2 linked regions of the Nothobranchius furzeri genome follow. The protein of the gene in region 1 interacts with the protein of each later gene in a pairwise test. Links are inferred from orthologs where the notes say so. Each region holds a gene or a part of one and is shown in the gene's direction. Other genes may lie near its edges. The genes, in order: map3k5 and lats2.

What was found.
Region 2: the proteins of map3k5 (region 1) and lats2 come close enough for resonance energy transfer, tested with the Homo sapiens proteins (2 studies listed by BioGRID, with this or other methods). The link is inferred for Nothobranchius furzeri from reciprocal best matches to the Homo sapiens genes MAP3K5 and LATS2.

Annotation. Positions count from the first base shown.
Region 1 is NC_091742.1:11,446,975-11,450,788, reverse strand, and holds part of map3k5 (mitogen-activated protein kinase kinase kinase 5), read left to right. Parts: intron 1-991; coding exon 992-1,169; intron 1,170-2,984; coding exon 2,985-3,002; intron 3,003-3,408; coding exon 3,409-3,586; intron 3,587-3,814. UniProt on the Homo sapiens protein: Serine/threonine kinase which acts as an essential component of the MAP kinase signal transduction pathway. Plays an important role in the cascades of cellular responses evoked by changes in the environment.
Region 2 is NC_091754.1:33,304,529-33,308,777, reverse strand, and holds the start of lats2 (serine/threonine-protein kinase LATS2), read left to right. Parts: upstream 1-1,353; 5' UTR 1,354-1,577; coding exon 1,578-1,916; intron 1,917-4,249. UniProt on the Homo sapiens protein: Negative regulator of YAP1 in the Hippo signaling pathway that plays a pivotal role in organ size control and tumor suppression by restricting proliferation and promoting apoptosis.

The DNA of each region.
Region 1 (3,814 bases):
CCGGGGTGATGTGGGTGTGTTTGGAGGACTTGGTCAGAAGCCGAGCACAGGCATTCTGAACCACCTGTAGACGGTTCAGGGAGGTTCTGCTCAGACACGTGAAAAGAGAGTTACAGTAGTCTAAGCGTGAGGAGATGAAGGTGTGGAGAACTGTCAAGTTCAGAGCGGAACAGAATGGGAGTTTAGCATTGTAAAATAATTGACTGTTAGCAATCAGTCAGTCAGAATAATAGTGATCTCACAAAGTCTCATAAATATTATTCTCCCCCAAGCCTCTGTTTTATATTAAAAACTGGATCAGCCATTGTCCACCTGCACCTGTGGGCTGCAACCTGAGCCTCTTAATACCGTCCGCACACGAACATTTGTTTGAACACAAACACGGGTGAGATCCACCCTTACAGTGTCTTTGTTTGGATTATTTATCCTGTCCGTTTATGTGGCACGAATGCCGTGGATGGAATTTTTAGAGCGCCACACCAGCAAACGGCTCTTCTTAACCACATGTGGTCCATTACAGGCGGTAAAAAGGAGTGAAGGGACGTCTGGAACGTATTATGGAGTTCACGTCAAAGCTTCCAAACATGGGATTTTTCCATATGATTTAATGAAAGGATTGGGACTCAGACAAGAAAGTATATTATTGTACCCTAAGCATGTTTTGTTTAGAGGACTTTAACGGGGAAAGACTTGCACTCACTGTTAGAGCCAAGATCAGACAGTACAGGGTGCAGTTACAGATCCCATGTCTGTTCTTTGAAAGAAACACGGAGTTCTCTTATTGAATAAAAGGGCCTCGATGTTCCTGTCCTTAAGGGTGGGGTATTGTCTTAATCCTAAATCGACAAAGCTTAGCCTTAGTGACAGGAACGTCTGTTGTTCCTTTAATCAGGAGATTTCTTTTTTCTCAAACTTTGTCCAAGTTGCTGCTGCTTGTTTGAACGCTGTTGCATTTTTCAACTAGAACGTCTGTTCTGATTGGATTTTGCAGGTGGGAATGTTTAAGATTCACCCAGAAATCCCAGAGTTAATGTCACCAGAAGCCAAAGCCTTTATTCTGCGCTGCTTCGAACCCGACCCAGATCGGCGCGCCACCGCCTTCGACCTGCTCACGGACGAGTTCCTCACCGTGACCAGCCGCAGGAAGAAGAGCAAGAGCAACCTCAGTGGTGGGTTCAGTTCAGAAATTACCAGCATCTTCGAGATAAAAAGTCCTGGAAACTTGTCCTGAACGCAAAGTAATGGGCCATTCCCATCTGTACCGGGTCGGCCCGGGCCGGGTAGCGTAGGTTGTTTACATATCTGGGTGGCCTGGTATTTTTCCGGGCCAACCAAGGCTCATTCTCAGCCCTCTTCTCGAGGGGGTCTGCTTCAGGCCGACCAGGGCCAACACACCCACTGCTGACAGCAAATTCACACCTTCCATTAGAGCAAGCCTCTGATTGGTGGGTAGAATCAGACCACATGGGCTTAAGACAAGGATGTGTGGAATCAACCGGGCCAGGCTGGGGCCGACTGGGGCTACCCGGCCCGGGCCGACCCGGTACAGATGGGAATAGCCCATTAGATTCCTCACCAGCCCTGCCCACAAAATCCAACATGGCAGCCATGCAGTTAAAAAGGGGCGATAACTTCGCCACAGCAATCAACTTTATTTGCACCATCAGGCGCTTTTCCATTGTTGGAACTTCAGGGGAAATTCTGGATGGGGAAATTTACCGTGAGATACGACAGCATATTGTGACTGCTTCGGCAGGAAGTGACGTCACTGATCAGCGCCACAAAGCATCCACAGTTAACTCTTTCACTGCCAATGACTTAAGTCGTCATTTGCATTTTTATTATTTTTTTTTACTGTGTGGGTGTCGGAACGAGCCCCCGCACCGTGAGAACGAACATCCAAGCTCTAAAGCAGATCTTCATCCACGTACGTCACACGTCACGTGATCAGGAAGCAGAAAACCCATGTGTTAGGAGATCTTTTTGGGCCGCTACTGTAAAAAAAAAAGTGAGGCGCGAACCGGAAAAGCTTCTGACGATACTTTGGACGTGCCTGAAAATGTCCGTTAAGTGGAGACACGCACATGCTGGAAAGTTCCTGTAAATTTATCCTGAAGTTCCGACAGTGGAAACGCACTTGTTAGTTTGGAGCAAGGCTCTCCACTCTTTGTTCTCCAGGTCCACTATCCAGCATGTTTGAGTTGCTTCTCTACCCCAACACACCCGATTCAACCGTTGCATCAGGTGTTCAGCAGGTCATGAAGATCTGTACAAGCCTGATAATCTGCTGATTAAAATCAAGTGTGTTGGAGCAGGGAAACAACTAAAACATGCTGGATAGGGGGGATCTTGTGGACTAGGCTAAAACGTCTTAGCGCAAAGCTAACATTTAGCTTGGAGTTAAAAGTTTGCAGAAATGGTATTTAAAGAAAAAACACAATCTGCATTCTGCACCTGAAAACCACCACGTATCACTTAAATAACAGCAAACTAGCTTGATGGATCGTTTTATAAGTGGGGAGGCAAGTTCAAATACTAATTTCCCTCCCGTTTGAGCCACAGCTCTCAGCTTATCAGTTTCATTGTGCTTTTAAGTTTAATCTTTAAAGCTCTGAAACTAGTTTTTTACTTAAAGCACTAAAACATCATTAATGCATAATAATGAAATTACTAGAAGTTTTGCAGCTTTAATTCCAAAAAATAATAATTAGTAATGGTTCACTTGTGAACTCCTCGTCAGTCTGGACTAATTATTTTATCACACAGCTTTTAAAAGACTGAAGCCACATCCTTCCTGTTTTTCGTAACATGTGAGCATGCTCCTCATGGGGTTTGCACCCCGCAGCGCTGATGCAATCATGTGCTCCGGCACCAGTGCACTGCAAGCTGCTTGCTCGGAAACGTTATCCTGCCAATCGTACATGTAAATCCTGTTGTTTTTCTCTCAAAAAACTGCTGACTCTTGGTTTTTTTTCTCCTTGCAGCTCCTTCCTCGGGTGCAGGTGAGTAACTCAGCCCTCTGAACATGTTTTTCAGACATTTCTACCACTACTTGATGGACTTTGTAAATTAAACTTCAATTTTACAAACTCCTCTACACTTCACAGACCTCTTTTTTGTCAAAGAACTCAAAATAGATGTGTTTATATTCTGTTTTTATAAGTCAAGGACAATTCTTCTTATTTGTTGCCCAATAAAATAATAAAGCTCTTCACCTTAAACACAAACTCAGAGTAGTTTGCTTTAGTGAGAAACATTGTCTACCTCAGGTTAGAATTATTGTGCGTGTGCGTGTGTGTGTGTGTGTGTGTGTGTGTGTGTGTGTGTGTGTGTGTGTGTGTGTGTGTGTGTGTGTGTGCGTGTGCGTGTGCGTGTGCGTGTATGTGTGGTGGAAACCCTTCTGCTCAGAGTACCTCCGTAGCATCTCCCTGCCGGTGCCGGTGGTGGTGGAGGACACCAGCAGCAGCAGCGAGTATGGCTCCGTCTCCCCTGACAACGACCTCAACACCAACCCATTCATCTTCAAGCCCAGCGTCAAGTGCTACAGCGAGAGGGATGTCAAGGGGCCCAGGTCCCTCTTTCTCAGGTAGAACACTTGAAATGGACAGAGTCGTGGCTGCTGCTTGCTGCAGACGAGTTTCACGCATAGCCTCACGACTGTGAAACACTAAACCAGTTGTCAGTATAAAGGCCAAAGCAGGTTTATTTCAGATTAAGGTCTGAGAAGTCTTTAACAGTGGATTTTCTAATGTAAAAATGATACAAAACAGCAGAAAATTTTGTTTTTGAACAGATTTACGAATTACGAGCCATC
Region 2 (4,249 bases), on another chromosome or scaffold:
AATGGAATTTTCATCGCTCCGACGCGGAACTCAAAGCATCACAGGAATGGAGACGACGGATCCCAGAGATGGGGATTTGTTTTCTCCTCAGCTTGGCCCAACATTACCCCGCTGCCCAGCTATATTTAAAATAAAAAACATATTTGTCCAAACAGAAGGGACTGTGTCTTTCCTAGAAATGGCCTAAAGGGATGGAGAGGGCCAAGGAGGAGGCGGGTGGGTGTGTCCTCCACAGCTCTGAGTCGTGTGGTTGATATTATTATAAAACTCATGATGGACATGTTTTCTAGAGGTGCATTCTCACTACATGGAGTTTCTTTATTGTCTACAGACTGAAATATTTTTATCCACAGTTGTCCAGTCCTGGTCCCCCAGGGGCCCCATCCAGCAGATTCCAGCGGTTTCTCTGCTCAGTGGGCAATTTCCAGGCTTGTTAGAGCTCGATGACCTGCTGAATCAGGTGTGTTGGAGCAGGAAATGACTAAAACATGCTGGATAGGGGCTCTCTGGGACCAGGAGTGGAGAACTCTGACATAATTCTGTGGAAATACTCAATCTGTGTCATTCATTAAAGCGAAAACATTGTGAGAATTGAGTCGCTGGACAGTGAAAACTCCCTCTTTGACTCTTTGGATAAAGGCTCCTCTTGGATCGTCATGTGAGCCTCCTGACAGGAACATGTGCACATTTTCCACATGTCACCCCAGCTGCCCTGGAGGAGTAACGCTGTCGTGGCAGAATGTGGAGCACGCTCCTCGGGATCAGACTGCCGGCCGAGGGGTGTGAAGCGTCTGATCGGCAGAGGGGCTGATGCGGGGTGGGCCGTGCTGGAGCGGCGTGCTCTCAGAGGGGTGTTCACGGATGACCACACTGCTGAAGTATGCAGCCGCTGCAGCTGCGGTCGGGTTTTATGAGCACCGACGTTCTTGAGGTTATTCACTGTAGGTTCTGAATTTGACTCCCTGGCTTCCAGGTAATAATAGTCTCAAACTGGTACCAGGAAGAAGCTGTGACATTTGGTGACCACTGGCAACATGCTTCAAATTCCCGTTCTTTCTCCTTACATTTGAGTGGAACGTTTGAGGGTTGCCTCCTTTAATCTCCTGTTATGATCTCCGTCCCACAGCTACAACTGACTCCCAGTCTAAGCACCACATTCTTGTGGTTGAGATGGATTCTGCTCCTTTTGCATTGGTGATGAGAAAGGTCAGATGGTAATGACGACGTTCTAACGTGATCTTCCCCTCCACAGGAGCAGATTGGCATCATCATGGTTTGGCTCTGCAGGACCCACATGTTCAGCTGCGTTTCCTGGAATAAGCTGGAACCTGAGCTTTGAAAGCCACACCATGGAATGCTTGTAGTATCCCGCTTCGCCTCTCGTCCGTCCACCCCGCCAGGAATTAGAAACACAAAGTGAGACACAAACAACTGAGGAGGTCCCTTCCATCGCTGCCTCTGATCTGTTGTCCTGGAGACTATCTAGGTCACACTTGGAGGTGGTGCTTTTGAGGGTGTAGTTGGGTGAGTGCAGCTTCTCCCTTTTAGAGTAGGTGCCTGCCCTGGGCACTCTGGCAATGAGGCCCAAGACTTTCCCAGCTGCCCCGTATGTGGGCAACACGCGGCAGCGGCTTCAGGAGATTAAGGAGGGCCTGAAGCAGCCGGCCAAGCTGGTGAGCCAGGCTCTGCTTGGGGGGGGCTCCCGGGCCGAGGGCAGCAGGAGCGCAGACTCCAAGGGCGGGAAAGACGCCACCAGCCGGCAGCAGCACCCCCGCCCGCCACAGAAGTTCAACAACTACCAGAACGCTCTGCGAGAAATCCGCAGGTCCCTCATGCCCTTCGCCAACGGGCCAGGAGAGGCTGAGGAGGTGAACCGGCAGATGCTGCAGGAGCTCGTCAACGCCGGCTGTGATCAGGTGAGCCTCACTGTTCATGCTAAGGAAGATGTGGTTGATAAAGGTGTCTTTAAACTCTGACCATGGTTGGAGTTTTAGAAGTGACAGGTTGAAGTCAGAAAAAAGGACTGCACCTCAAGCACAGATGCTCTTCGAGAGTCATCCATGTTTTCTCCATGAACTGGTCTGGAGCAGCTGGAAGCTGCTGATACTTTATATCTCTGCATCATCCAGCTGCACAAGAGTAACCTGTTTATTTCAGAGTTGATCCACTTAGAAGTCATAATGGTCAGGGGTCTCGTTTATCAAACATTGCGTAGAATCCTTACTAAAACCGTACTTAGGCCAAGTAGGTTTGTGACCGATACAACATGGAGTACGCACAGGCTTGTTCTGTGTGAGCACGAAGCGGTACAAGTGATAATTTTATCCTTCTCAGCAGCAGCACTGCAGGTGCTCTCCATGTCCAAAATGTGCGTAAGCCAGGTCCTTAGTCAACTTAAAGTTGTGCATTTTTCCACTAAGTTTTCTTTCATAAATCCCAAAGATTGCGTGGAAAGCTGCTCACGCAGTTTTTCGACCCCGTTTTGTGCGTAAGCAAGCTTGATAAATGAGGGCGCAGGTCTTTAAAATCTAAATTTCCGTTATCGCATGATTGGTAGTACGTCCCATTAATGCTCCGGGGTGGCCATCTTCTCACAACAGAATGTTGTTCCCTCTGCTGGAGCCACTCCGCCTCCTTCAGTCAGGAATTAGAAAATAAAACACCCTAGTGCTTTTGGGTACGACACAATACAAGTCTCTCCTGCCAAGTAGTAACTGGGTTACATAGTAAAAGCTCCAGTGTTGAAATGTCAGGTGGGTTTCTCAATCGGGATGTTTGGGATTTTTCACCCTTCTTCCCACTTTCAGGATATCCAGCAGGCCCGGAAGAGTCAGGAGACTTCCCATGAGTGAAACCTTTTAGCTGCTGCTCATCACTCCCTGTATTAGACCGGGCATCCCCATAAGGACCAGTCTTTCATCAGCTTAAATGTCTGTTATTGTCTAAAATCATTGCCACACAGTTCGAGCTCCAGTTCCTACTTCTGGTCTGAACAGCAACTAGAAACCTCTGAGATCTCCTCAGGATCTTCTCTCTGGGAACTAAAGTAACAGTGAAGCGCCTGGAGCACGTTTGGGGCCCGACCAGAGCAGATGATTAAATCACAGATTGTCCTGTTAGTCCAGTTAAGATCTGGGACATTTGTGGTTTCAAACCCCTGTGATGGAGCGCGGAATGTGAAGAATGCTCCGCTCAAGCCCGTGCACGGCGCTGAGGAGGAGGAGAGCCTACAAACTGATTTCAGCTTGCCACAAAGACCCAGTGTTTGCGCTGCATCTTGTTTCCACATCTGGAACCATGAGGTGCCGCGTTGGAGGATCAGGGGACAAAAGCAGTCTTGGTAATCAGCTCTTTCTCTAAGAGGTAGTTAAACATTAGTGTCAGCATACATTTTATTTCCACCGACCTTTACAGAAGTCAGGGGAAGGTAAATGCTGCTGTCCTGAAAACCAATCTGAGCATCAGGGTCAGTTTCGGTTATATGTTTGAAATGAATCTGAAACGCTCGCAGGCTCCACTTCCTGCTGCAGCGGTGACCTCTTTCTGCACCATTGTGAACGGACCAGAGCAAGGCGGGTCCAGTCAATACAAACAGGAAAAGAACATTCAATGGCAGCAGGGCGGACCAGTTCCTTCTGCTGCAGTCCAGTCTCCACCCAACACGTCGCCTCTCCTCCACCTCCTCTTCCTCTGTCGCTGGTCTGTCTGTAGGACAGCGCTGCTGGGTGTTTGTCCCCGTTTGTTCCTGTCGACTGTGTACAACTCCCCTCGGTCCACCAGGATAAACCTTCTAAACAAAGAAGGTATTAATTCATCTACAGACGAAGACCAGGGCCACTAAAGATTTATTTCTCTGATTTCTGAGATAGAAGTCTAAAATCGTATTAATCTCTTCTGTATATATTGAATGTGAGTGTCTGCAAAAAGAGAAAATATATTATTTTCAATGGGTTGTTGATATTTTTGGAGAATGATGTAAAAAAAGTAAACAACAGATATGAGAGTGGTGTTTTTAGTGTCATTCTGTTCAATTTAAACATGAACAAAATCAAAAGCTGCTTAAATTTGAATTTTTTTTTATTCTATCTATGTTTAAAACTAAGTTTTTAAAGTAATGTTATCCAGAGCGAAGAGCCATTGTAGAAGATCCAAGCAGCCTCAGGTTGTCGATTCCTAAGCTAGGCTAACCTTAAAGGGACATTATGGAAGTTTGACAGCCAAAACATGTATAGCAATAATAAATGTCTTC